Linked DNA regions of Arabidopsis thaliana. The protein of the gene in region 1 interacts with the protein of each later gene in a pairwise test. Each region holds a gene or a part of one and is shown in the gene's direction. Other genes may lie near its edges. The genes, in order: NF-YB6, NF-YC7 and NF-YC10.

Region 1 (11,793 bases):
CAGAGGTTTAGGGAGATCGAAGGGGAGAGGACTGGACTAGGGAGGCCACAGACTGGTGGTGAGGTCGGAGAGCATCAGAGAGATGCTGTCGGAGATGGCGGTGGGTTCTACGGTGGTGGTGGTGGGATGCAGTATCACCAACATCATCAGTTTCTTCACCAGCAGAACCATATGTATGGAGCCACAGGTGGCGGTAGCGACAGTGGAGGTGGAGCTGCCTCCGGTAGGACAAGGACTTAACAAAGATTGGTGAAGTGGATCTCTCTCTGTATATAGATACATAAATACATGTATACACATGCCTATTTTTACGACCCATATAAGGTATCTATCATGTGATAGAACGAACATTGGTGTTGGTGATGTAAAATCAGATGTGCATTAAGGGTTTAGATTTTGAGGCTGTGTAAAGAAGATCAAGTGTGCTTGTTGAACAATAGGATTCACTAACGAATCTGCTTCATTGAATCTTGTATGTAACTAAAGCCATTGTATTGAATGCAAATGTTTTCATTTGGGATGCTTTTATGTTTTGGTGAGAGTTATGTAGTGATTCAAGTGTCAAAATGCTTACATAGAGAGGCAGCAAAGAAACCAGCTTCGTTAGAATCTGTGAGGAAAGCTCTGTTTGTTGAGAAAGAAGGTCAATTGCGCGAATGTAAGTCGCGGGTGTTGTAGTACAAGTTGCCTTGTTGATCAGGTGCAGAGACGCGGAGAGGAGTGAAGCCTTCGTAGTCTCCGTTGGTTTTAGCAGAGCAAATGTCTGTCATATACCTCAATAGCTCATAATTTTGTACAAATGGTTGATTTATGTATTCCTCCCAAGGCATCCACTGCACCAAATTCCCATTTTCAGAAAGAGAAGAGGTTTATGAGTGTTTTAGTGGATGAGACTGGAGAGTCGTTGAAGTGAGGAGCAAAAACTGTTACCTGAGCTGCCTCAATCTCTGACTCCTGTGCGTTGATCTCCAAAGAAAGGGGCTTTAACATGCACACGAAGAACAAATCTGACTTTCCAAAGAACGCTTTGTGTGTTTGTCTGCCAGAATTTTAAAACAGACGAGAATCAGTTATGTTGCAATATAGAAGATTATGCAGTTGGAGTTGCTACCTGAAGGCCAATATTTGGTCGAATTCTGTATCCACCTGAAAACATACGATGCAGAAGAGTGGGATTAGCTCTTGGTCTCATGTAAACTGTAAAGAGGACAGTGAAAAGTTGAGGCATGAAGAAGCCTTACTCCGGTCTCTTCTTTCACCTCTCTGACTGAGCCATCATGAATGTCTTCACCCTGACTCAACACAAACACAAAAAGGCGAATCAGAGAGCTGAACCTAACCATGTAATGAGCTTTAATAAGAACCAGCACCTCATTCACAACTCCGGTGGGGAACTTCCAGATACCTTGACCTTGAAATCTCCCTGTCTTCTCTTGAACCACCAGCACCTTTGGATTCAAATACAGAAAAGAAAAGAGATGTGATCCATTCTTGGAGATGTTCCAAAAAGACACACTAAAAATCTCATCTCATCAGTAATCAAACCTCTTTGTTGTGGTTAATGACAAAGGCACCTATGCCAACACGGTGAGATGCATTGGCAGGAAGCGTATCGTCTTCTTTGGGAATCCAATAGACAAGCATCAAGTAGTCTTTCTCCGCGTGGTGAAACCAGAATCCCTCCTACACATAATACACAACCAGTAAGTGATATGAAGACTCTCCAAACAATAAGCAAAAGGGGGTTTAAAGATATCTGATTGCGCATTAGGTAACAAAACAAGACCTTAACAGCAGTTTCAGCAAGACCAATAAGCTGCTTTGGCAACTTGATCCACACTCCCTTTTTGCCCTGCGTACATAAAAACGTTTGTAAACATTTCACAGTAGATCGGTTCATAGTCCTATTCACCGTCTATTACTGTAGTGGAAAAGTTGAATTTAATTTTTTTTGCAGCAAAGTGAAAGAGAGTTTCTGGCCCGCATTAGAATACAACAATTTTCAAGCGGAATAGTGACACTAACACTTTTAACACCCAAACTTTTACAATGATTCTTCTATGTAACAACAAATCGGTACCAGTATCTTGATTCGGATAACAAAATTTGTCATTTTGATCGAATCCAATAAGATCAAATTTAACAAGAGGAAGAAGGAAGAGAGAACCTGAAGAGTCCAGGTAGATAGAGAGGATCGGAGAAGTGTGGAGAAGAGAGAAGGATCCATGGGATGAGTCATCTCGGTCATCACGCCACCGTACTTGTCTTGAACAGACGGAAGCAGTGTTGTTGCGTCCTCACGGGACATGGGATTTGTGGAGGAACTAGAAGCAGACATGGATCTGTTCCTCGTGGTGGAGCAACTGTGAAACGCAGAGAACCCATCAGCCGGAGGAAAACGAAGACGACGGCCATTATTCTTATTACACAACAACAATTTGATTAAACCATAACTTTTGGCCAAACGGCAAGTCATCATTACGAGAGAAGAAAAAACAAAACTCTCAACTCAATTTACACTAAAGATTTGTCCTAAATAAGTAACAGACAAAACAAATTCTATATAAATCTGAAAGTTTTTAAATTGCTAAATAGATTGATCACTCGTTTGAAGGATTTGAGCATACAAAACCTGTTTTTTCACTTTGCGGTTCCCTTTCTACAACGTATGATGAGTGAAATAATAATAAAACAAGGAAGTAATCTATTTTTCTTCTAAAATATGTCAATAAAGGCCAAAGAAAATATTCTGTTACTGTATATTTCTATCACAAGAACATAAAAACTTCAATATTTTCTGTTTAAGAAGGTTAAGGTCAAAGGTTAATACGTACGTGGAATAGTTTCTCTGGATTGTTTGTGTTGTGACACCTACGCTTGATAGAGAAATTACCAATGATTTTCTTCTAATTTTTCTCAGATTCCCAATCTTAATATGGATTATGGATTATGATATAAAATATGTCGGTATCTCCGCGGCTTTCGCTGAGCCACACGGGGCTAAAGTGTTTTTTGCCTTTACACAAAACTGGTGTAGATACAAATTACAGAACATATTCAGCTCAGGTGGGCTCGGGTCGGGTCATATAACGACGGGTAAGAAAACGACTGAAGTGAAGTGAGGATAAAATGGAGGTTATGTTACTCCTTTGAGGGTATAAAGGTAAATATAGAGTTTTTTACCCTTTGAATTGCTTTTACTTTGGGCAGTCTCTTCTGGATTTCACGCCGCCCATTTTATTTTTTTTACCTTTTCCCGAAATGGAACTTCTCGCCGGCGACTGTCGGAAACGAGTCGGCGACGACTTTGAGGAAGATATTAACCCATTCGATGGTTCGGACGGTGGTTGCGGGTGGATGTACGGTACCCGTCAAATGGGTTCTAACGGAAACGACGACGCTTTGGCTACGCTCGCAGACTTGGCTTCGCCTCCTCAGAAATTGAAACCTATAAGGTGTGGCGTTAAGCTTCCGTCGTCGTCGGAGGATCGACATCCTCTTGATATTCTCGCCGGAACCCTAGATAGGCTGCCGGAGATGGGTTTTGGCTGCTTCGAAGCTCCTTTGGGATCGAAGATTGCTGACGTGGAGGAAAGTGGTCAATTGACTCGTGGGTTTTCAAAGGAAGAGGATGATTCTCTTCCTCCTCTTCAAATGGAGTTTCAAGCTCGAAATCGCATCTCTTGGGATGGTCTCTCTCTCAGGTATAAATCTCACCATTAAAAATGTGAGCTTTTTGTTCAACTTTGGATCTGTTACTGTGAAAAGTTGTTACTTTTTTTCTGTATTATTAAGAGTCTAATTTTTTTTCACGTTTATTAGAAGCTTGTTTGGTAGAGACCTCCTAAACACATTCTCTTCCTCTTGATATATTTGAGCTTTGCGGTATCATTTGATTCTAGATTGGTTGACTGGTGCATCACTGAACACTCTCAGCTTAAAGCATTAAACTTTGCAGATATCAATCAGATTGGTGTGCCGTCATTACAAGCTTTTACAGTGTTGGTTTATACCACTTCTAAGCAGTGTTTGTCTATATATTCTGCGGAACTTTTGGATTATTAGTTCTTAGATAGTGTAACCATGTTGGAAGCTTTGAGTTTTTGATAAGTACTTTCCAATTTTTGATTTTGCAGCTCCTCTGTTGATAGCAGCGATAGTGACTCATCTCCAGACGTTCGCAAGACCGTCACGGGTAAAAGAAAGCGGGAAACAAGGGTAAAGCTGGAGCATTTCTTGGAGAAGCTTGTGGGGAGTATGATGAAGCGGCAGGAGAAGATGCATAATCAGTTGATTAATGTGATGGAGAAGATGGAAGTGGAGAGAATACGCCGTGAGGAAGCTTGGAGGCAACAGGAAACCGAGAGGATGACACAGAATGAAGAAGCACGGAAGCAAGAGATGGCACGCAACTTGTCTCTCATCTCTTTCATCAGAAGTGTTACTGGTGACGAGATCGAGATCCCTAAACAGTGTGAATTCCCGCAACCACTCCAGCAGATTCTTCCGGAACAATGTAAAGACGAGAAATGTGAATCCGCTCAGAGAGAAAGAGAGATAAAGTTTAGGTACTCAAGCGGCAGTGGCAGCAGTGGTAGAAGGTGGCCGCAAGAGGAAGTGCAGGCATTGATAAGTTCGAGAAGCGATGTGGAAGAGAAGACGGGGATCAACAAGGGAGCGATTTGGGATGAGATATCAGCAAGAATGAAAGAAAGAGGGTACGAAAGATCTGCGAAAAAGTGTAAGGAGAAGTGGGAGAACATGAACAAGTACTATAGGAGAGTGACGGAAGGTGGGCAGAAACAGCCTGAGCACAGCAAGACTCGCTCATACTTTGAGAAACTTGGAAATTTTTACAAGACCATTTCCTCGGGAGAGAGGGAAAAATGAGTGAAAGATTTTAAATTTAGGTGTTTTTGGCACGCAAAACGGGAGAACTTGTAGATGATTACCTCGAGTTTAATTTTTATATCTTTGGTGTAGTTTATAATTTAAAACTCTACGGCTCTGTATTTGTAGAAGGTTCGAATAAAAAAGACAAATACGTTGGGGTGATTGGGATTTTGTAACGGCTAAGGGAGACGAGGAGAAGGATCCTCGGTCACATCGATTATGGCTGCCACGTTGTTGAACTTGTGAGGTCTGAAATTACAAATGCTGACACTTGCCAACACTATTAGCTTTATTCCAATTACTCTTTCTTCTCTCTCATTCCATTCTCTTCTTCAAATGCTTCTTAATTTCGGGCATTGGTTATTATTATTTATAGGGATATTCACAAACACAAAAGTCGTGTATTTAGAACAAGAAAGATATGGAACGTGGAGGCTTCCATGGCTACCGCAAGCTGTCCGTGAACAACACCACTCCTTCTCCACCAGGTAGTGCCATTCTCTATACCCCCTCTTTTCACAGGCTCTCTTCATTTCAGTTGCATGCGAAACCATTCTCTGCAATCCCTCCATTGTCATGTCTGTACTCTTTTCATGACGAACAGTTAATGAAATAGCTTTTCAATCTTATAAACCGCGCATGCAGACGTCATCGAAGCCATTATGCACTAAAACTTCCATTTTTCTTATTTTTGTTAGGATTAGCAGCGAATTTTCTGATGGCAGAGGGCAGTATGCGTCCTCCAGAATTCAACCAGCCTAACAAAACCAGTAATGGTGGTGAGGAGGAGTGCACGGTGAGGGAGCAAGACAGGTTCATGCCTATTGCCAACGTGATACGGATCATGCGGAGGATCTTACCTGCTCACGCCAAGATCTCAGATGACTCCAAGGAGACGATCCAAGAGTGTGTTTCGGAGTACATCAGCTTCATAACAGGGGAGGCTAATGAGCGGTGCCAGCGGGAACAGCGCAAGACCATCACTGCTGAGGACGTCTTGTGGGCAATGAGCAAGCTCGGTTTTGATGACTACATCGAACCCCTCACGTTGTACCTCCACCGCTACAGAGAGTTGGAAGGTGAAAGAGGGGTTAGCTGCAGTGCTGGGTCCGTTAGTATGACCAACGGCTTGGTGGTCAAGAGGCCTAATGGGACCATGACCGAGTATGGAGCCTACGGGCCTGTGCCAGGGATTCACATGGCGCAGTACCATTATCGTCATCAGAACGGGTTTGTTTTCAGTGGTAACGAACCTAATTCTAAGATGAGTGGTTCATCTTCAGGAGCAAGTGGCGCCAGAGTTGAAGTATTTCCGACTCAACAACATAAGTACTGAGAACAATGGCTAATAACATAGACAGCTGACAGAGTCATAACTGTTAGTAGGTGCAAGCTGTAGCTTATGAATTCAAGTTTAAGCGAAAACAATGCTGCTTTTTCTTTGTTTATTATCTATCTAGTTGAAAGAACATTGTGTTTTTCATCTGATCTGTCTTGTGGTAAAGTATGTCAATAAAGCATTAGTTTTGCAAACCGCATGCATGTGATATTACAAAATTCACGGTGAATTCGTAATGCGTCTTGGTTCAAAATAGAAAGAGACTAAACATTCCAGATTTCAATTCTCAGCTACAGAAATGAGTGTTTAACGGATACAGAAACAACTCTCACAATCTTCATTCATTTCATTTAGCTACTACTTTCCAAAGGAACTTCAACGCATACCTTTTTCCTCTCCAGAAGATCATGTTTGTCTGCACTCTCGTTTGCCTCAGTATCTTTCTCCTGATGCTCTTCAGATATATGTTCCAATTTCGAACAATCAACAGGATCAAGTCCGGTTCTTTTCCTCTGAGGAATCACAGTGAAGAAGGCTGTTTTCCAGTCCCTAGTCTCCAGAAACTTGACGAGTATCTCCAAAACTTGGTTCACAGTGAGAACCTAAATCAATAAAAACCACAAATCTTACATTAACAAAGTACATAAAGTAGAGGTTTTTTGTGTTGTGCCCAATGAGACAAGAATTGAAGTGGCCATTTAGTTACCTGAGAACTTGACATTTTCATATACTCTCCTATGGGAAGCTTAGCTGTTTTAATGCCTTGTTCTTGAGCCTTGGTCATGGTGATCCCTTTGAACCGGTTTCGATCCACTAAGCCACCGATAATGTAGATATGCTTAGGGTCAAGATCATCCAAAACAGTTTCAGAATCAGCCGTAAGATACACCAAATTATCTTTCTGATCAGCCATGGCTTCAATGTAACACCTACTTTCCTTTTCAATGAACCATTTCTCAAAACCAGGAAGCTTGTCAAGCTCAGTACTCATCTTCCCTTGGACTCCTGTAAGCCATAGATGACAAGGTGAAGTGCTTCTCCCATTCACCGCATAGCAATACATAATCTGCTGAACGAGGCTTGAGATCTCAGACTCAGACATGAGATGAGCAAAATCAACATCTACTACGATCTTTTGACCTATTTCTTTAGCTTGATTCAGCCTCTCTATCTTCTTCTCCTTCTCCTCCGATCTCTTCTCCATTCTCTCCTTCCGCAGACTCTTCCTCGACTCAATAAGCTTCAGCCTCTCTTCCTCCGTCGCGTTCGCTAGGGTTTCTTCCCATTCCTTAAGCTTTCTCTCTCCTTCTTTTCTCTTATGCTCCTTCTCCTGTGCCTTCTTCTCAGCTTTCTTCGCTTCGTATCTTTGCTGCTTCAGCTGCTTCTTCTGAGCATTCTTCGACAGGGGAGGCGAAACGTTAACCGGTGCCGGTTCAGATTCTGGTTTATCGAAGCAGCCGTTGTCGTCATTTCCCGTCGCCGCCGCCATTGCCGCGAGAAAGCAAAGCGAGAGAGCAAAGAAGAAGGGTCAAAAAACTAAAATTGAAACTCCACTCAAAACGACGTCGGTATTCTTACACTAATGGGCCTGGATGTTTAAAAAGGGGCCTGTTAAACGATGGGCTTTAAGAATGGGGAAAAAGGGTAAAGAGAAGAGAAAGTGAGGGACCATCAATATAAAATAAGAGAAAATGAGGAAGCGATGAGAGACACAAAGCCGTCGTAAGTCAGCTAATCGGGGCTCTTGTTGTGTTAGAGAGAGCTCAGATCAGATGTGGCTTTCTTCTTCTTCTCCTTCTTCTTCCGCATAGTGACTCTGAGAACCAGATTATTCAAGAAAATACCCTTTTTGTTTCCTTGTTCGTTTATTGTGGCTCGTCTCTAACAGCTTCGGTTTAAGAGTTCTCTGTTTCACTCCCCATGGCTCAGAAGCCGGAGGAACAGTTGAAAGAGCTGGGATCGAAGCTTGACCTAGCTCCTGTTTCTAAAGATTCATTGCTCAAACTCTTAAAGGTGTGATTCCCCATCTCTACTTCTCATTGTCTCTTCTACAATTTCTCCAAGTTTCGATTTTTCGTTTGGAGGGAACTTTTTTCCATCTTTGTCCCCTGTTTAAATTCTGCCAAATTGGAACCGAATAAAGTTTTCAGCTTTGTAGATCCTCTTCCGTTCTGGGTAATGCTCATTAATTGAGCCAGTGTTTTCTTCTTTCGAGCTGCGTTAGGGTTAGTTTGTACCATCTTTTTCGTCTACGCTAGATTGTTCTTGCGAAATTAGGTCATGCATAAAACTCGGGACTGTTCCTAGGAGAACCAATTCAGTGTCTATAATTGCTTAGATTTGCGACTTTTATGATGTCTGCTGTTAGAATGTCGAGTTTTTAGGGTTGGCCCTAGTATTTTTCTGTCCCTGGTCATGATGGAATTGAACTGCGCTATCTTCACCAGCAATTTGACTGATGCAGTAGTTACCCCAATGTTCAGTTTCTACATTGACTAAGATGTTTCTTTATCAACCACCTTTGTGGAAATGTGATTTGCTTTTGATTGGTTTCATTGGGGTGAATTGGTCGGGTTAGTTTACTAAGATATCTCTCTCCTTAAACACTTTTCCGTGCAATACTGTGACTGATTTATCAAAAAGACTTTCCTTAACTTGTGTGTTGCTACATGCAGGAAGCTGCTGTTTGTCTTTCTGAGTTGGAGCAGTCTCCACCACCTGCAGTGCTCAAGTCCATTCAGCCTTTTCTTGATGCAGTTATTAAACCTGAAATTCTCAACCATCAAGACAAGGATGTCAAGCTTCTTGTTGCAAGCTGCGTTTCTGAGATAACTCGTATTACAGCACCTGAAGCGCCTTACAGTGATAATATTATGAAGGTTGTTTGTCCTGACTTTCCTCTGGCACCGTGATCACAGACATGTCCATTACTGATTTCTTCTGTTTCCTATCTTGTTTCAGGATATTTTTCAACTAATTGTGAGCGCTTTTGCTGGGTTGAATGATGTCAGTGGTCCATCATTTGGAAGGAGGGTTCTCATTTTAGAAACGGTTGCAAAGTACAGGTCATGTGTAGTGATGTTGGATCTTGAATGTGATGATCTGGTGAAAGAAGTGTTTACTACATTTCTTGATGTTGCTAGGTGTGTTTCACTTTCAACCTAGATTTCTTTTCTGAGTGATTATAAGTTCCGCTGATTTACAAAACATCTTCAAATTTTCTGATTTTCAGTTGTGCTTTTCGTTGGTGTTCTTGGCTAGTAATACAAAATATGAATGGTTTCTGTGATTTTTTTCTTTTCTTTTGGGCTTCATACTGAAAGATTGTTTTATTTCTGTATGTGCAGAGATGACCATCCGGAGATTGTTTTCTCATCAATGCAAAATATAATGATTGTTCTTTTAGAAGAAAGCGAAGATGTGCAAGAGCACCTTTTACTAATTTTACTCTCTAAATTGGGCCGCAATAGAAGTGTGAGCATACTCACGTTGCTGGCTCTGGCCACTGATTATAATCCAATTTAGGATTCGTTGTTTTATGGAATATCAGACAGCTCATATTCTGCATTTATGATGGCAGGACGTTAGAGATGCTGCAAGAAGACTTGCTATGAAAGTCATAGAGCATTGTGCGCCCAAAGTTGAATCTGACATAAAGCAGTTCCTTATCTCTTCAATGTCTGGAGATAGCCGATTTTCCAGCAGTCAAATTGACTACCATGAGGTTATCTATGATTTGTACCGCTGTGCTCCTCAGGCCCTATCTGGAGTTGCACCATATCTCACTGGAGAGCTTTTGGTATAATTTTATTTTTGGTCTTCTGCCACTATCTTGCACGTCAAATGTCATCATGACTCTGCCATGCACAATACTTTTATTATTATGTATTTTGTTTGAATAATCACTCTTATCCATTTGTTGTTTCAATACTTTTCATGTGGTATGAGCCCATCTTTTCAAGTAGATTGGTATTGAATAATACATAATGCATACTATTAACATATACAGGCGGATAAACTGGAAACTCGTTTGAAAGTGGTTGGATTGGTTGGAGAGTTGTTTTCCTTGCCTGGACGTGTCATCTCTGAAGAGTTCGATTCAATTTTTTTGGAGTTTCTGAAAAGGCTGACCGATAGGGTAGTTGAAGTTAGGATGGCCATCCTTGACCATATTAAGGACTGTTTGCTCTCAGATCCTTTGAGAGCTGAGGCTTCTCAAATTATATGTAAGCTTTCTTTATCATGCCATTAATATGCATTAGAATTGACTAATCTTATAGTGTTAATACTTATGTAGCTGCTCTCTGTGACCGGCTCTTGGATTATGATGAGAATATCCGCAAACAAGTTGTTGCTGTTATTTGTGATGTGTCTGTGAGTGCATTGACGTCGATTCCAGTTGACACTATGAAGTTAGTTGCTGAACGGCTTCGTGACAAAGCTGTACGTTTTATGTATTCAGTCTGGTTGTCTCTGATAGTTGCATACTAAAATTTGAAGACATTTGAACTCATAGTTCTTTTTCTAATTCAGATACTCGTAAAAACATACACAATGGAAAGGTTGACTGAGTTGTTCCGGGTATATTGCTTACGGTGTGCTGATGGGAAGGTAGACACTGGCGATTTTAATTGGATTCCTGGAAAAATCTTGAGATGTCTTTATGACAAAGATTTCAGGTGCATTTGTCTAAAACATTTTTGAACCCTGGCTCCTTTTCTTTTATTCTTGGGGTTTACTTAATTCTAGTTGATTAGTATCATAACCTTTAAAAAGATGATCTAAATATATTATATGTGTTGCAGGTCAGATACAATTGAGTATATTCTATGCAGTTCACTGTTTCCTAGTGATTTCTCAGTAAGAGATAAAGTTAAGCATTGGATACAAATCTTTTCCGGGTTTGACAAAGTGGAGACCAAAGCTTTTGAGAAGATACTGGAGCAAAGACAAAGGTGTATTTGATGACTTTTTTTATTGCACTTAAATTATTTTGAAGGATCGTTGTCATGCTGTCTTTTCGATACTGAAGATTTATTGTGGAGAATTGTTTTGACCTTTAGGATACAACAAGAAATGCAAAGATATTTGTCAATCAAGCAGACACAACAGGTTCGACCAAAGATAGTTGAAGAATTTTTCTTTTAAAAATTTTTTGGTTGGAATTTTTCCCTTTTAAGTTTCACTATCTAGAACCTTATATTCTGTCTCAATGCAGACTGCTGATGCTCCTGAGATTCAGAAAAAGATCCTATTTGGATTCAGAGTTATGTCACGTGCATTTTCTGACCCCCCAAAGACTGAGCAAAACTTTTTAATTCTTGATCAACTGAAAGATGCTAATATCTGGAAGATTTTGACTAATCTGCTTGATCCCAACACTAGCATAACGCAAGCATCCAGGATTCGGGTGAGAATAACAAGAAGTTTGTATTTACATATAGATTTACTTTCGACAACCTTATAACTGGTTTGTGGTTGTGTGCAGGATGATATGCTTAAAATACTCTCTGAGAAGCATTCTCTCTATGATTTTCTCAGCACTCTCTCCATAAAGTGTT
Region 2 (4,758 bases), 1.2 Mb from region 1:
TAGTAGACTTGTAAGCGCTTTTCTGAGAATTTGATTGTCTTTTGGAGTTAGTCTCTTACATAATATCTTGTTCTAAAATCCTCCGCCTAACACCGGTTACTCTCCGTTTAATCGCTAAGTCCATCATATCCGGTTACTCTCCGCTTAATCGTTAAGTCCATTCTATCCATGATTAATGACTAATCCCTTAAAAAATCACTCATTCGATTACTCTCCTTCTAATCCGATTACAAATTAATTATTTTTTTAAAGTAATATTAAGGGCCCCATTTCATGTAAAAGTTTTTTTCTCCAAATATATTGGGCCATTTATTAGATATTTTCAGTCAAATTAATTTTTTTATAAAATATGGCCTTTTTAAAAAATAATTCAGAAAAAATCATGGAATCATGGGCTACTGCCCTTTTGCCCATCCTATTTGGGCCGAGCTTGTTATCATCAACCTCGACCCAATGGGTGAGTCGTAAGGTGTGAGGGTCAAGACTTTTTTTATTTTTGAAGTAAAATTGATATATAAAAAACCCATATTTTATAAAACAACTTATAATTAGCCCAAAATTATAGTTCAAAACCCCATTTTTTGTTTTAAAAATAATAAGCCTGATTTTGTTTTTTAAATAAAGCTTTTTATAGCAAAAACAAATTGGGTAACCTTACATCTCTAATTTTATTTGGGATGGGGCTGATTATCATCACAAGGACTATGCATAAATGTTTTCAATAACTCCATATCAATAAAAAATAATCTGGTTTGATTGCTTTTATCCAGCTAACTAAATTTCACACCAAATGTTGAACTCATCATTGTTTTTTCTAGATTTTGCATGATTCGTTTGTTCAAGTAATCAGGTTCGACTTTCGATTAAAGCCTAAAAATCTCATGAAACAAAGGTTTTAGGCAAAGAACTCTCTATATAAATATATAGGCGCATCATTTCATAAAAAGTTTATTTCCGAAAAGTTGATGGATATCCGCTTTAGGTGACCAGTTCGATCCTAATTTCCTAACTTTTGTAATTTCTTTTTAACAGGTGACGGCAAATTATGTTTGGACCGGCCCTAAAAGTAGTAATTATTTCCTTTAAAAATAATATCTAAGGTTAAGAGAAACATATTCTTTACATAAACAATATCTTTGGATGTTTAAATTTTAAGCTTGATATTTTAACGAACTTTGGCGCGAAAACCATCTATTCAAATATCTCTTTCCACCACTTGTGTTTTCATTGATTTGGAATTGTTATCTGCATTGAGATATCTTTGAATGATGAAACATGTTCCTTTGCTACCTTTAAATTAATGCTTCAGATTAGATCGGTCTCATGCACAAGACAAATTGACATACATATTTGCATCTTTGAAATGCTGACAATATTTGCAATCTCCTAAGAATGATAACACAAAGAAGCAGGCCAAGCATTGGATTTTAAGTACACAACTATAGCTTTTTCACTCGAAGCCAAAGTCACCTTATCTATGCGGAAACTCCACATACTTTCCATTGCGCATTAGAAAATTCTCAGTTTGGTATCTTCCCACTAATTACCACTCCAAGGCACCACTTATAGTTTTCTTCTTTGACTAATCAGATCTTGGGCACAAAACCATTGACGACATTCCTCATATGCTAGCTTTCACATACTTCCCTAAATTGGTTAGTATAAAATCCACCTTATCTAAAGCTATAGTTGACTAATAGCTTTCACCTTATCTAAATTTTATAAGTTTTAAAATTTATAAAATCCAAAAAGTATTGGTTAACAAAAATTTATAATGAATAGAAAGTGAGGTTTTGTATTTTGGGATTTCACATATATTAGTAAATATTGTATAACACAAAACAAAATATTAATAAAAAATAAATTTTATTTTTGAGAAAATAGTTGGGCTGATTTCGTAGCCCACTTAATCAGCCTTTAAATATGGAAACCCTAGCCTAGAAAGTGAACAAGAAAAACGTAAAGATCAAAATGGAAGAGAACAACGGCAACAACAACCACTACCTGCCGCAACCATCGTCTTCCCAACTGCCGCCGCCACCATTGTATTATCAATCAATGCCGTTGCCGTCATATTCACTGCCGCTGCCGTACTCACCGCAGATGCGGAATTATTGGATTGCGCAGATGGGAAACGCAACTGATGTTAAGCATCATGCGTTTCCACTAACCAGGATAAAGAAAATCATGAAGTCCAACCCGGAAGTGAACATGGTCACTGCAGAGGCTCCGGTCCTTATATCGAAGGCCTGTGAGATGCTCATTCTTGATCTCACAATGCGATCGTGGCTTCATACCGTGGAGGGCGGTCGCCAAACTCTCAAGAGATCCGATACGCTCACGAGATCCGATATCTCCGCCGCAACGACTCGTAGTTTCAAATTTACCTTCCTTGGCGACGTTGTCCCAAGAGACCCTTCCGTCGTTACCGATGATCCCGTGCTACATCCGGACGGTGAAGTACTTCCTCCGGGAACGGTGATAGGATATCCGGTGTTTGATTGTAATGGTGTGTACGCGTCACCGCCACAGATGCAGGAGTGGCCGGCGGTGCCTGGTGACGGAGAGGAGGCAGCTGGGGAAATTGGAGGAAGCAGCGGCGGTAATTGAAAAGTGTTGATTGGGTTTTAGGGTTGTAATGCTTTTGTGAGAATTTGTATCTCTATCGAGTCATGTTTGTTGTTGTTGTTGTTATTATGTTTTGCTTTCGTTAATGTCATGTGTTCTGTTGTTGTTGGTGTTATGTGTAGTCTTCCATGTGAAATATCACATAGAAGACTAAACATAACATCAACAACACCAAAACACATGGCATTAACGAAAGCAAATGGAAGACAATGGAATTTTAGTTAACTCTTATTTTCTTCTTTGCTTTAGATTAGTTTATGCCAAAGAATCACCAAAATATTCGCAGTTCATTACGAAAAAACACAATGAACTAGGCATAAATGTCAATTACCATAAAAAACATATACTACTAGCTCCATCTTCTAGTTATCCTTTATGAAAGTAGAAAATCCCCATGGCTCATGGTATTAATTTTGTATACGTTGTGAATATGTAGGCATCATGATCTTAGGATCTAGTAAGAGATCTTTTTGAATCCCGAATCTATGTTCGTAAATTTTCCAGCATTTTGATTTTAAAATGGATTTTCGCGTGAAAGTTATACTCCGGTTTTATTATGCAACGAAATTTTACTTGCAAACCGCTGATATATTATTCCAGTTTTCTCAATTTGGCATGAGTTGTTTCTCACATAGTATATTTCGTTTTCAAGATATGAACATCTAATGTGTAAAAGATCTATTGAAAATATAGTTGTGGAACACCTTGAAAATTGTTGTGGATAACAAGTGTTCGTAAAACAAACATTGTTCGTAACGACCAATTAGGAGCCACATAATAAAACCAAATATTTTCACTTCGTAATCATTAGATAAAAAAAAATCTTTGAATATTTACTTTTTTTTTAAGCAATAAATCTTTCTTCTTATGAAAAGATAGAAAACAATCTAGACAATTTAATTTTTAGAAGCAATAAATCCTTCTGTTTATGAAAAGGGTCCTCACTCTTATATATATACTTGGTTTCATTTTCTTTTTACTTTAAATGGCTACATTAAAGAGTAGCCAGAAAACATAAATAAAAACTCCAAAACACTACTTTCTCGGTTTTATATTATAAGTTGTTTTAGCCAAATTATTTTGATTCTTAACATAAGATGTTTTAGACAAATAATTCAAATTTCTATGCAAGCGTAGAATTTATATACTTTTATGACTATATATATATTATGCAGTAACGAATTTCATTGGCCAAACTCACTTTAATTAACTAAATATTAAATTATGTTTTTAATTTAGAAAAAATATATAAAAAGATAAATTAATTATTTAAACTTTGTGTTTAAACATCATATTTTTTTAAACAATGGGAGTACCATAGTTACCGTTAATTTAGAGAGAAAAAGTTCTTATTTAAAACTTCAAATGTATTCGTTTTATGAGTTTCTAAAAAAACCAACTAAAGATTTTGAGTATGGAGGAAACAACGGCAAAAACTGAAGTGTGGTTTGTAATTTAAGATTTCTAACCGCTTTCGTGAGAATTTGAATTACTTTTCAAGTTATGTTTTTGAATTTAAAGTGTGTAATGTTAGGACCTAAAGACTTGAATTTCCAAATATATTCAAAAAAAAAAATGTTATGATTTTTATTGTGAAAATGGAGAGTGAAGGCAAGTTGTTAGGCATAAAATATGTAGAACAAACAATATGTATTCCTTAAAAAAGGATAAACACTTTGAAGATTTGAAGAAACGAATTTTGGATGCTTCTAGATTTTCAGAATGGATAAAATTCAAAAGAATATGCAACACTCAATTCATATCTCAAAGAGAATGAGGAAAAACTGAGGTATTCTCTATGTTAAGATAAGGAGGCAATAAAGGAGGAAGAGACATAAAATCCTAGAAAAACAATATTGTTCAACAATTGAAATTTTTTCAAACAATCATTCAAGACCTACAGATACAGTATAAATTTATTCTATTGTCAGAAACATGACCATCTAGTAGTATTAGTAGATGAATATGCATATGGCGATCATTGCTTTGATGATCTGAATAAAATCACACTCTTTCTGTTAGTTTCAAATGCTGGAGACTTAAGTTTCTTTACAAATAGATAAATTATCTACTACATCGTTGAATAGAAGTTGAGGAGTAACCAAAACATTTAGTTGAGGAAGTTGTAAC
Region 3 (11,952 bases), on another chromosome or scaffold:
ATCAGTTAAACCTTTGTGAACATAGCAAATGGTAATACCTGGCTATCACCTAAGAGGTTTGAGTCCCTGTCCGACAAGAGGAATTTGCCAATCAGATCGCAGTCTCGAAGAATATGGTTAACCATCAAATCGCTCTTGTTTTCCAAACAAGAAAGTATTATACTCTCCACTTGATGATGCAGAGCATTATTGTACGGGTACCTTCATATGTCGAGAGTATTTGATTTTTTAAGATCTCGTAGAAATAGCACACGGTAATCACAAAATTTTAAGTTTAGCAAAACCTACTCGAAAAACAGATCAAGGGTCCTTTTGATTGTTCCTGAACTGACTAATTCCTTTTGTGCAGCTTCACTTCTAGTTTTCAACAAAACTGCAATGAACTCCACAATCTGAAACAAAGAAAATAAGATAAGTGAGTCTAATTAAGTATAGAGACTTTACATACAATATATTAAGAGCACTGTTGGTGTCCTAAAAACGACAATGTCTTCCATAAAATGCTCCATGTTTGGACCTGACCTTTAGACGATGCTTTCCGAGAGGAGGCCTCAGTTCACCATATGTTGTAGGCAATACTGTGCTATCAGATGCTACAGTGAGAAGCATAAGCAAGTCATCTGCAGAAAAAAAAAAAAATATTACTTAAGGTCATTGAATGCATAAAACCTGATTTGAAAAACTTGTATGAGACAGTATCATACATATCCAAGATGTGCTACGTAAGCATTCCAGAATTATGTAAAACCAGTTTCCATTTATCAATATAAACCAAAATAGAAGAGACCAAATAGAGAGCAGGGAAGATCAAACAGAACGTCCAGATAGATGCTAAATACTCTAGGTATCCTCGCAAATGGAAAGTAATATCACATAAGAAAAGGATTGACTATTGTCCAAGTGCACAATAAGATTATGTGCATGCAACAAATAAAAAAGCCAGAAAATTAATAATCTTGATGGTCATGTGACGATGGTGCATCATAGGATCCAACTTACTGAGTTTGGGCAGCATGGCACCAATAGTTTCTGGGGAAACTGGGACAGGAGACTCGAACATATGTTGACCTCTGTAAGAATTGAACATAGAAGATGAAACAGCAGATCTCCTCGGATCCAGAAGAGAGGTGCATACTGAAAGTGAATGAACTAGACCGGATTTTGAATGCGAGTCTTCAAGAGCATGACCAAATATCTTTGCAACGTAGCTGCAAAAACAGGGAAAAAGTTGTGCTGCCATGTGAAACACTTTTGTATCATCTATCAAAGCATTAGGAATCATCATGGAAGAAAGATTACAAACCCAGGGCTAGAGAGCTGCGTAGCTAAAGCTGACGGTGCATTCCGAGAAATTGCACATAATGTTTCTGCTGCATTTGCCTGAACCTCCGGAGGACTCTGATTCAAGTTGTAATGCAAGAAACATATCAGAATGAAGATGATAGAAGAAATTAGTAATATCATCAGATATCCTAGATTTACACCACCTACAAGTATCAAAGAGAAAACCAAGAGCCTCTTGTCTCTGGGATGATTATAGAAAAGCTTAACCACTTACAGATGGTTTAAGTTTGTCCACGATCATTTCAAGTAAATTGCTATCAGCCAACCATTGCATCACATCCAGAAAGTTGGGATAGACTTGGTCATCAGCCCCAACCAAGCGAACCAAAACCTAGAAAAAGTCGCGTAAATATCATAGCAAAAAAGACCTCTGAAACCACACCAAGTTGCACTGAGTCTAAGTCAAACCAATTACCTCCATGATGGATGTTATCCCAATCAAATCAACTAACTGGCAGAAAACATTTTGATGCCCCTGTGATCATCAAAAGTTACTTTGAGAACTGAATACAAAACAAATAACAAAAAAATTCAACTAAATTGTCTGTCACATCAATATAATTGCCAGCAATTGAAGAATAGAGTCATGTCAATCTCATCTACTAACAATTTACTAAATAGACGGACATCTGGCTTGCGAGATTACAATGGAAGGTAATATCAATTCTGAATAGAAGAGTTAACAGAAAATAAGACGTATTCTACAGTACTCCTGGATAATCCTAGAAATCAGTTCAAATAGTTTCCATAATATATTTCTCATATAGTTTACCATCCGTTTAACTATGTGTTATTACTTACTTTTACATAATTCATAAGCGCTGCAGTTTTTCTGATCATAAGGCAAATGACAACCTACACCAAACAGAGAGAAGTAAGAATCACTTCTCGGAGCCTTGAAATGAAGTCATATGTATCGGTACAAACAAAACAAAAGAAAATTACAGGAACTTGGCTAATACGTAAACTTATGTATCGTAAGAGAGAATACCTTGCTGAAATAGCCTGCCAGCAATGCACTATGAGGACGATTTGGTTCCAGAAAGGAAAAAAGCAAGTTCATCAGCTGCAAGATAAAATTATTCGAACAAATGAGAATCTAGGATAACAATAAACATAATCCAGATGCACAGAAAAGTGAAAAGTATGAACTGCTATTTGAGGAAAAGGTAGTAGGATGAATGAAAAATACCTCTTCATCCTCGACCAAAGTTTTTAGAATAACATCAATTTCACATGTAAATATTTCACAAGAGATGAATGGAAACCTAAAAGAGAAGAAACTATTATTAGTTAGAGAGAAAAGAAATCCAGAACCATTCAAAAGAAAAGTGGATAAAAGGCAAAAGGAGAGGATGGTAAGACAAGGTAATTCCAGTTAGAATCAAGGAAGCATATTACTTGAAAGCACGTTTACTATCAGCATCCTGTGGAGGTTCTTCAACAATGTACCGCAATAATTGCTCCACTTGAGCTTTATCCCTTAGACTGCAGACATTAATACCCAATCAATAAAGTCATCCAAGAAAATACGAAGGAAATATGGGACTCCTTAACTAAAACTCCGCAGATAGAGGAGACATAGGATTCAACATACACCATAGGGTTTATCTGGTTCTATGAAACAGATAATGAGGAATATAAGCCAATTATAAATGATTAAAAAAAGCTTACAAGTTAATGAGCCTGCTATTCAAAGCCTTGCATTCTTGAATAATCTCTTCCTCATCAAGAAGCTCTTCCAACGTGAAATTTTCTTTGTCTAATATTATCTCCACCTGCGCTCATAACAAAAGGAAAGAACATCAATACATGAACAATTCACGACTCAGAGACAATAATTCAAAAAATTGAAATCTAGCAAATCCAAAAATTCGACATAAATTATATGAAAAAGCAAAGCAACGGATAGAAACTCCAATAATCTAATTCTAAAGCATATCAGTATCTGTAGACAAGATGAACGCTAACATACAACACGACATCTAAAAATTCAACTCACAGGAGATGATGCAGAGAGAGATGTGAGCTTCCAAAACATGGTGGCGAGGGAGGAGTGGAGCTAGAGAAAGTTTCGCCGTAGCTGAAGAGAATAAGGAGAACTTGGCGAGATCCGCCAGAAACCTAGAAGAAAAATCTAGGTAATCGCTTCTTCGCGGTGGAGGAGTATCGATTTCAGCTCGAAAACCCTAATCGATCAGTGAAGAAAGAGATTGAGAGATCCTAAAGATGATGGAAGCGGAGATGGGAGATCGGAGGTCGAAAATTTTGAAAATTAAGAGGCCGAATTTTGCATAAAGAAGGGGAAAAGTAAAAAATGGTCTTATTATTATTTGTTATTTTATTCCTTTGATTGATTAAGAAAAAGTTGAGCGAATTATTATTAACTAAATCGCCATTTTCACAGATTTGTGTGTCTAATAAAAGTAGACTTATGATTTTTTCGTAGTCGTTGTCTGATGATCATGATTCATGACGATGGTGGTGGTGGTGGTGATAGTAACATACATCATCTTTATGGATACAATTGAATGATCGTGAGATATTGTAACAGAGAGGGGGATACTTGCGTCACCAGCAGCAGGTGACTTGTGAATTTGTTGTGATAAAGATCACATTAATTTAAATAAAATCAGCTGTTCAATTTGCGGAATAAATAGTTGGCGAAAATTGTGCTTATAAATTTTACAACGGGATGATGAAGTACAATAAGCAAATCAATTTTGTGGATAAAGAAATGCATATGATTGTCTTAAGTTTGATTTAATGGTGTAGAATAAAAACATATAAAGACAAAAGTTGGTTGAAGTGTCAAACAGAGTGAACTCCGTAAACAGCCTCTTTTTCTTCACACCTTAAGAAACCATAGACGAAAAAAAGTTTACATATTTTTAGAAAATTTTCGATCTTTAAAAAATTTATGAGGAGATTTGTTAACCTTACATAATACTTGACAAGAGAATGATGAAATTTTTTTAGACAAAAAAAAACACGTTGAAAAGTCTCATATATGATGTCACTGATTTTTAGATCAAAATGTTGACACCCCAATTTGATCGGGAAGCAAGAAAACCCGGAGAACAGATATAAAATTAAATTGTTCTATTCTACACAAAACCTTGGGCATTTGTTAAATTTTAACTATTTACGGTTTATTTTAACCATCTCCACTGAGAATTTATCGTTACGTTTATGGAAATGACTACACACATCTTCGTTTTTCTAATCATTTATAGGTGTGTACTTGTTTTTCCTTCAAATTTTCATTGTTTCACTTGAAAAGTGCACTCTGAAAAATAGAAAGTACACTGAAAATTCATTGTTGTTTTCACTTAAAAAGTGCATACTGGACAACAAAAAACCTCAACAAACAAACGATCAAACAAGAGAGTGAGAGACCTAAAGATATTTTTTTCCACTAGCGCTTCAACAAAGAAAAAAGAAGAGAAGCTTTCATTTAAACGTGGTACGTTGAAGTATACATGATGATGTAATAAAGTACTACAATGACTCAACAACGCCAGCTCTTGGAATGGATATTAGTGGGAGAAGAAGATCCAACAACTTTATCAACCAGCTTCCTCAATCCCTTCTTCTTCTTCGGGGTCTTCTTTTCCTTATCCGTCTTATCTTCTCTCTTCCTCTCTTCTTCAACTTCTTCCTCAAACTGTGAACACAGCTTAAGCACTTGCTCCTCTACATTATTAAGTCTCTCTAGCAAAGTTCCTTTCCGCTCAGTCTCCTCCCTGACTTGTTCCATCGAACGGCAGTGTACCTTCCCTATGCTCCTCGGTGACGACAGATCCATTGACGATGGCTGAGTCCCACTAGATGGAGTCGATGGGCTCGAGCTTCTAGGCGAGCTTCCTTTCATCTCCTCTAACTTCCTCACCATGAAATCAATACGATCCAATCTTGAAAGTATCGGTTCTTCTACAACAGCCATTATTGATAACAAACGACAACGTTTCCAGAAGCTTTGGTTGTGTCGGAATAGTTGAAAGACAGTATCGAAAGCAAAACTCGTCTTCTCTTATTAATAGAGTAATAATTGGAGATTGAAAGAACACGAGCTAGGCCACGTTTAAATATTGCAGAGAGAGTTCATGGAGACTCACACGTGTTGTTGATAACACGTGGTGGTTCCAGCTTGCGGACACCTCTTCTGTCTCATACTCCAACATTACCCATTCTTCCTTATCTAATCCCTAAAATTTCTTTACATTATGTCGGGAACAAGATAATGTATTTTGGATGCTTGTATAAAAACATTATCTTATCCCAAGTACATTTACCCTAATTTATTTATTTCTCCATAAACTATACAATGTTTTACGAGGTGTATGCGAAACAGTGAAAGCATGTCCAATAATTTATTTTGAAGTAGTCGTCATGCATCTTCATTCCTCAACATCACCATGTCCATTCCTTAAATTGATCATATGATAAATGGGCCTAAAAGGCTCAAACAAATAAGCCCATGTAAATATCCATCGATTTATTCAGGCGAAAGGGTGAAACATACTGTAGTTCTAAAAAATTAATGGTGTCGTCAAAGAAACCCAAGGAGAAGAAGGCGAGGAGCGATGTCGTCGTCAATAAAGCGAGTGGTCGGAGTAAACGCAGCTCCGGTTCCAGAACGAAGAAGACGTCGAACAAGGTTAACATTGTGAAGAAGAAGCCGGAGATTTACGAGATCTCAGAATCATCGAGCAGTGACTCTGTGGAAGAAGCAATAAGAGGCGATGAGGCGAAGAAAAGTAACGGCGTCGTGAGCAAGAGGGGTAACGGAAAGAGTGTAGGAATTCCGACGAAGACGAGTAAAAATCGAGAAGAGGACGATGGAGGCGCGGAAGATGCTAAGATCAAGTTTCCGATGAATCGGATTCGGCGGATCATGAGAAGCGATAATTCTGCTCCTCAGATTATGCAGGATGCTGTATTTCTTGTCAACAAAGCCACGGTATAGTACTAATTAGACATATAAATTTAGCTTGAGGAACTTAATTTCACATGGTTTTTGATGAATTTGGGAGTATCAATTGCTAGTCAGTGTTAATTGGGCGTTATAATCTCGCAAATTGCTACAGTAATGAGATTGTTTCTGTTAATTAAGCCGGGAATTAACGTTATTGCTTCATCTCCATGTGTGTTTGATGAAACCGTAGTTACTGTGCTTGATTGTCATAGGTTTAGCTTTTACATCCAGAACTTGTAGACACCTAACACATGAGAAAGTCCTTATATATGATTTAGGTTCATATTTTCAAAGCTTAAGTGATGAGTGTTTAATTTTCCTGTATTGGAACTTGGCATTGTTTTTTCTTTCTTTTGATTTCATCTTGTGTTCATCGAAATTGATGTTCATTGCGTTTACAGTACATTAACTGGTTTTTGTGATTGAAGGAGATGTTCATTGAGCGGTTTTCTGAAGAAGCTTATGATAGTTCCGTCAAGGACAAAAAGAAATTCATCCACTACAAACACCTCTGTAAGCTCTAATCTCGTCCCTATTTGCCAATATCTGGTTACCTCAATACTGAATCCCATGTCGAAAATCTCATGCTGCTGCACCAATTGCTGAACTTAGGATTTCTGGCTTCTGCACAAGGGCCAGTAGTTAGTCTTAGGAAGAGTTTAGATAATGAGTTAATCCGTTCGTATCACTTGCAAGATTTGTTGCACTCCTAACATAATTGATGACACTGTCATTTCTACTCGTTGGCAGCATCCGTAGTGAGTAACGACCAGAGATACGAGTTCCTTGCAGGTACTTAATAACCTCTGAAGTATTCGTTTTATGAGTTCCATGTGGTTTACGAACAGCATTTTAATACCTGTAATATCTTGAATGCAGATAGTGTTCCCGAGAAACTTAAAGCAGAGGCCGCGTTGGAGGAATGGGAAAGAGGCATGACAGATGCAGGCTGAAATAAATCCGGTTGGAATCGAACTGAACCATTTGGATTCAAATTTGTGTCCCTGTCCTGGTTTATACTTCATAGGTTCCATCCGCCCGATCTTCACCTTTCTTATTAACCACTACTGAGATTGCACATATTTGATTTCTAGAATGTATACATTTTTTTTCTTGTTTCAAGTTAAAATTTGTAAGAGTTGTCGGAATTCTAATATCTTTCTTTAGTATCTATATATACATTTTTGCAGCCATTTTGTGAAATAAATTTTGTAGTTGGACTTATTTACAATGGCTGCCACTGGATTTTGATGTTTGTATTTGATAATTAGAAAGAAAATCTTCGAATTAAATATTTGACATTTAACAATCTTTCCAAAATCTCTCCACATTAACTAAACAGAGACAAAATTACAAAATATTTAGACAATGATTCATAAACATATCATAAATAAGATCAACATTAATAAAATAAATGGTTTTTTTTACTGGACGGGTTTGACAGGACGTTACTTAATAATAATTGTAAACTATAAAATAAAAATATTTTATAGTTAGATACAATTTGTAAACTTTTATATATACTAACATTAAAAAATAAATTGTTTCCGCGGTGTACCGCTGAGTTAAAATCTAGTTATAATTATAGGACAATTGGTCAGAAAATATTTAGAAAATATTTTTACCATAATTATTCTTACTAATCAAATTATAATATTAGTAAAACAAGCCAATTATCAAAAAAAGGTTTTTAAAATCATTCTTCTAGACCAATTTGAAAAAACTTTCCACATTTTCTTTTCTTTTTACACATTTTATAATTCTGTTATAAAATAAATAATCCAAAATAAGAGTTTGGGGGTAAAACTAAAAATTCAAATAATATGATGGGTATGAATAAAAATTAGGGTGGGTCCACCAGAAGCAGCGACTGAGAGCAGCTCTCAGCCGGGAAAATCCGACGATCCCTAAAACCCTTTTCCTTCTCTTTGGTTTGCTCGAGAAATCGTTTCCTGCCATGGATTCTGATGTGAGGAGGAAGATTAACAACACTACTCAGGGTTCGTCCCCTTCTCCGAAGCCCTCCAAGTTCTCTGTGTACCGGAACCCTGCTCTCGCCGCCGCTTCCACCGCCAACAGCATCCGTCCTTCGAAATCCGTTCTTCTATTCATATTCTTGCTCTCTATCGCTTCCGCTTTCTCTCTCATCTCCTTCATGGCCGGGTACTTGCCAGCATTAGCTTGAGCTTCGTACATTCCCTCTTAGTTGCATTGTTGGAGTATTTGTCTAGGTTTTGGAATATTTCTGGTTAGCTAGAAAATCTCGACTTGAGTCCTTAGTTCTTATTCTTTATCATTTGCTTTCTCTGTGAGTTAGGATTGCTCAATCTGGGAAAGATCTACCATGATAATCATTTGCTTGTTTATCTTATGTTACAGGGAGAAATGGTTGACCAATGCTTTAACATTCGGGAAAATATCCCAAGAGGCAGCTTGTGAGTTGCATTTTTTTCTTGAGAGATTTCCTTTTTAACCTTTTGTGTTTTATTAGTTTCGTAATATATCTAAAATCTTACCTTGTGGTTCAGATGTCACTGTAAAAGCGTGGCAGGGGCTGGTGACTTTGTTTTGTATTGGAGCAATGATGGCTTTGTCCAAAGGCATATCTTTGCACAGAGCAAAGTTTGCTGCTCGAGGAGAAACTAAATCTTTCTCTAAAGAAACCAAAGATCAGTTTTCTTTATCAAATCGTCAGCTTGAACTTCTTGGGATAAAGAAAAAAGCTGACCAGAGTGTATCAGAATTTCCAAAGAGTCGTCCTGCATTGAAACCTGCACAGTCATTGGAGCCGCTTGTCCCAATACACCATCAAACTCTTACTGGTTCAGCTCATAAGTCTTCTGGTGGTGGTGATAAGCTGAATTCCCGTAATGGAAGCCAGATTAGTTCATTTAGCACTCCCTCAAAACAAATGGGTTCACCGTCTATGTATCTTGTCCCTTCTAGCTCACCAGTTTCTTCTAACCGTCTTTCGTCGGGTCAGGATAAGGCTGTCTCTAGTCCTTGGTCTGGTAGACGAAGTTCTGCAAAAGACATAACTACCGAGGAGCAGCTTGAGCAGCTTTTGGCAGAAATAGATGAGAAAATCACTGAGTCGGCTGGGAAGATGCGTACGCCTCCACCAACAGTTGGGAGTTTTGCCATGGCTAGCCCGAGTACAGTTGGTGGTTCAACTGGTGCATCTGGGGCTACTAGGAGTACACCACTAAGACCTGTCAGGATGTCTCCTGGCGCTCAGAAATTTACGACTCCCCCAAAGAAAGGAGAGGGTGATTTCCCCAACCCAATGTCCTTAGAAAGGGCTATCGAAGGTTTTATTCATCTAGGTGTCTATCCTCAGATAGAAGACTGGCGTGACCGACTAAGGCAATGGTGTTCCTCAGTGTTGCTCAAACCTCTGCTTAACAAGGTTGAAACCAGTCATATTCAGGTTTGTTTCTGGAGTCCTTTTAAAATAAACACTGGCCTTCCTATACTTGTCTGCTGATGAATGAGTTGATAACCACATCCGAATCAGAGGCACAAGAAGAATTTCTTGTTTCCCTATGTTGCTGTGAAAGAGATTTTAAACTTTGTCATTTGTGTAGGTAATGCAAACAGCATCAAAGCTTGGTGTTAATGTCACAGTTAGTCAAGTTGGAAGTGATTTGCCAACAAATGGAACCGCTACAACTGCCTTACCGGTTGATCGAACGAAGGGGTGGCAGCCATCTTACTCTCTCGATGAAGATGCTCTTCTTCACCAATTACGCGCTAATCTTGTACAGGCTATTGATGCTTCCATGCGTAAGTAACATTCCTACAGCTTCTACTGTGATGTGGTCCGAATGGTTGTCATTGTTAAGTTGAAGTGCTGTTCTGTTGTTTTGAAAATATTGTTATCAACTTAAGACTTCATGTTTCTCAATAAATTACTGAATTTAAGAATGTTGTAATTGATTGGATATCTGAGAGAAATAATGATATCATGTCATTTATGTGTTGTTGCTAAATGTTTGGGTCTTCATATAGTTGCTAATTCTTTCTTCTGGCATCTGCAGAAAAGCTGCGTACAGAGAACCAGCAGTTTCAGCAACAGCAACAACAACAGCAACAGCAAGCGGCACTAATCCCTGTCATGCAGGAATGTGTTGATGCTATAAGTGAACATCGGAGGCTTCAGGGCTTAATGAAAGGAGAGTGGGTTAAGGGCCTACTTCCGCGCAGCAGTATTCCAGCAGATTACACAGTGCAAAGAATCCGAGGTATCAAACATTTTAAAAAATTCCAATTCCAATTTTAGTCGATTAGTCATGACTCTTATAACTCTTGGCTTTTGGCAGCACTCGCGGAAGGAACTTGTGTGAAGAACTATGAGTACAATGGAGGGGCAGATACTCGTGAGAAAAACAAGAAATGGAGCCTGGAGCCTCCAACCGATTCTCATCTGCTTCTGTACTTGTTTTGTGCCTTCTTGGAACACCCAAAGTGGATGTTACATTTGGACCCTAGCTCTTATACAGGGACTCAGGCGAGCAAGAACCCTTTATTCTTAGGGGTTCTGCCTCCAAAAGAGAGATTCCCAGAGAAGTACATTGCTGTGGTATCGGGTGTACCTTCGACACTTCATCCTGGTGCATGTGTGCTTGCAGTAGACAAGCAAAGCCCACCCACATTTGCCTTGTACTGGGATAAGAAAGTGCAGTTTACTCTTCAGGTAATGACAAATTTAAGTTCATTTTTAATATGCATGGAACAGCTTACATATACAGAGGATGTGAAAAGGGATTGTGGTTAGTGATGAACTTGTGTACTGGAAATGGAACAGGGAAGAACAGCGCTATGGGACTCTATGTTGTTGATATGCCACAGAATCAAGGTGGGATACGGAGGTGTTGTTCGTGGGATGAATCTGGGTTCTTCAGCCCTTAACATCCTCCAAGTTGTTGATTCCGACACTGACGATTAAGAAAGCTGGATTTGCTTGAGATAGTGGAGGTGCATTGTTAGGAAATGCCATCTTCATTTTGCCATTGTTAGAAGGAAGTAGTGAAATTAGTTCTCTTTGGATAGCAACTTATTCTTGTGATAAGTACATATTAAGGATGCTTTTTTGTAACCACTTAAGAATCAGTTGATGGACAGTACAACACTGAAGATGGATTCATCAGAAAACATTCGAAATTGATATTTTTGTTTGCCGATCATGAAGTTTAATGAGTCTCTATCTACATTAATAATGGGAACAGAAGCAACAGTAGAATCATGTTTTTTTTTTCACTTCTCAAAAGACTGCTAAAGTTCGCATTACTCTGTCTCTTTCTCAAGGTTACTCATGCGTATTAGTTCTGACAATTCACTGAATATGAAATTTTAAAGCAAGAACTTTGGTCTGCAGCTGCTCTTAAAACGAACATACAACACAAACTTGTAAGAAATCTCGACTAACTACACTTACGTCTTTGCTTATCTGACTCTGAATAAAATGGAAACTGAATATTTTAGCAAAACAGTGGTGTGAAAAACCTTTAAACCCAAAGATGCTCCTCCATCGTGCTGAAAACCATGCCTATCTAACTAACGGTAAGAGTCACACAACTGCATAGGCAAAATGAAAACCAAAGGGAACAATGTATCAGGTTCTAATAATC

Evidence for each region.
Region 2: the proteins of NF-YB6 (region 1) and NF-YC7 interact in binary tests that used the Arabidopsis thaliana proteins (3 or more experiments, as listed by UniProt).
Region 3: the proteins of NF-YB6 (region 1) and NF-YC10 interact in binary tests that used the Arabidopsis thaliana proteins (3 or more experiments, as listed by UniProt).

The regions. Positions count from the first base shown.
Region 1 is NC_003076.8:19,309,747-19,321,539, forward strand, and holds NF-YB6 (nuclear factor Y, subunit B6), read left to right. Parts: upstream 1-5,031; 5' UTR 5,032-5,314; coding exon 5,315-5,381; exon of another isoform or gene 5,382-5,591; coding exon 5,592-6,229; 3' UTR 6,230-6,423; downstream 6,424-11,793. Other genes in the region: NF-YB2 (nuclear factor Y, subunit B2), read left to right, coding at 1-240; NUDT2 (nudix hydrolase homolog 2), read right to left, coding at 645-833, 931-1,039, 1,112-1,146, 1,242-1,292, 1,371-1,448, 1,546-1,683, 1,787-1,852, 2,168-2,479; AT5G47660 (Homeodomain-like superfamily protein), read left to right, coding at 3,262-3,704, 4,137-4,890; TRM10 (tRNA (guanine(9)-N1)-methyltransferase-like protein), read right to left, coding at 6,583-6,834, 6,939-7,721; AT5G47690 (binding protein), read left to right, coding at 8,153-8,245, 8,908-9,111, 9,194-9,375, 9,580-9,706, 9,813-10,031, 10,242-10,458, 10,530-10,675, 10,766-10,911 and 4 more. UniProt on the Arabidopsis thaliana protein: Component of the NF-Y/HAP transcription factor complex. The NF-Y complex stimulates the transcription of various genes by recognizing and binding to a CCAAT motif in promoters. Plays a role in the regulation of the embryogenesis.
Region 2 is NC_003076.8:20,552,972-20,557,729, reverse strand, and holds NF-YC7 (nuclear factor Y, subunit C7), read left to right. Parts: upstream 1-1,971; coding exon 1,972-2,610; downstream 2,611-4,758. UniProt on the Arabidopsis thaliana protein: Stimulates the transcription of various genes by recognizing and binding to a CCAAT motif in promoters.
Region 3 is NC_003070.9:2,468,846-2,480,797, reverse strand, and holds NF-YC10 (nuclear factor Y, subunit C10), read left to right. Parts: upstream 1-5,669; 5' UTR 5,670-5,887; coding exon 5,888-6,307; intron 6,308-6,750; coding exon 6,751-6,835; coding exon of another isoform or gene 6,836-6,846; exon of another isoform or gene 6,847-7,072; coding exon 7,073-7,114; intron 7,115-7,201; coding exon 7,202-7,275; 3' UTR 7,276-7,633; downstream 7,634-11,952. Other genes in the region: AT1G07990 (SIT4 phosphatase-associated family protein), read right to left, coding at 39-201, 289-392, 523-620, 1,000-1,208, 1,304-1,398, 1,559-1,675, 1,760-1,819, 2,146-2,199 and 5 more; AT1G07985 (uncharacterized protein), read right to left, coding at 4,856-5,290; AT1G07970 (cytochrome B561, amino-terminal protein), read left to right, coding at 8,280-8,485, 8,702-8,757, 8,851-9,752, 9,910-10,108, 10,363-10,566, 10,645-11,018, 11,130-11,270.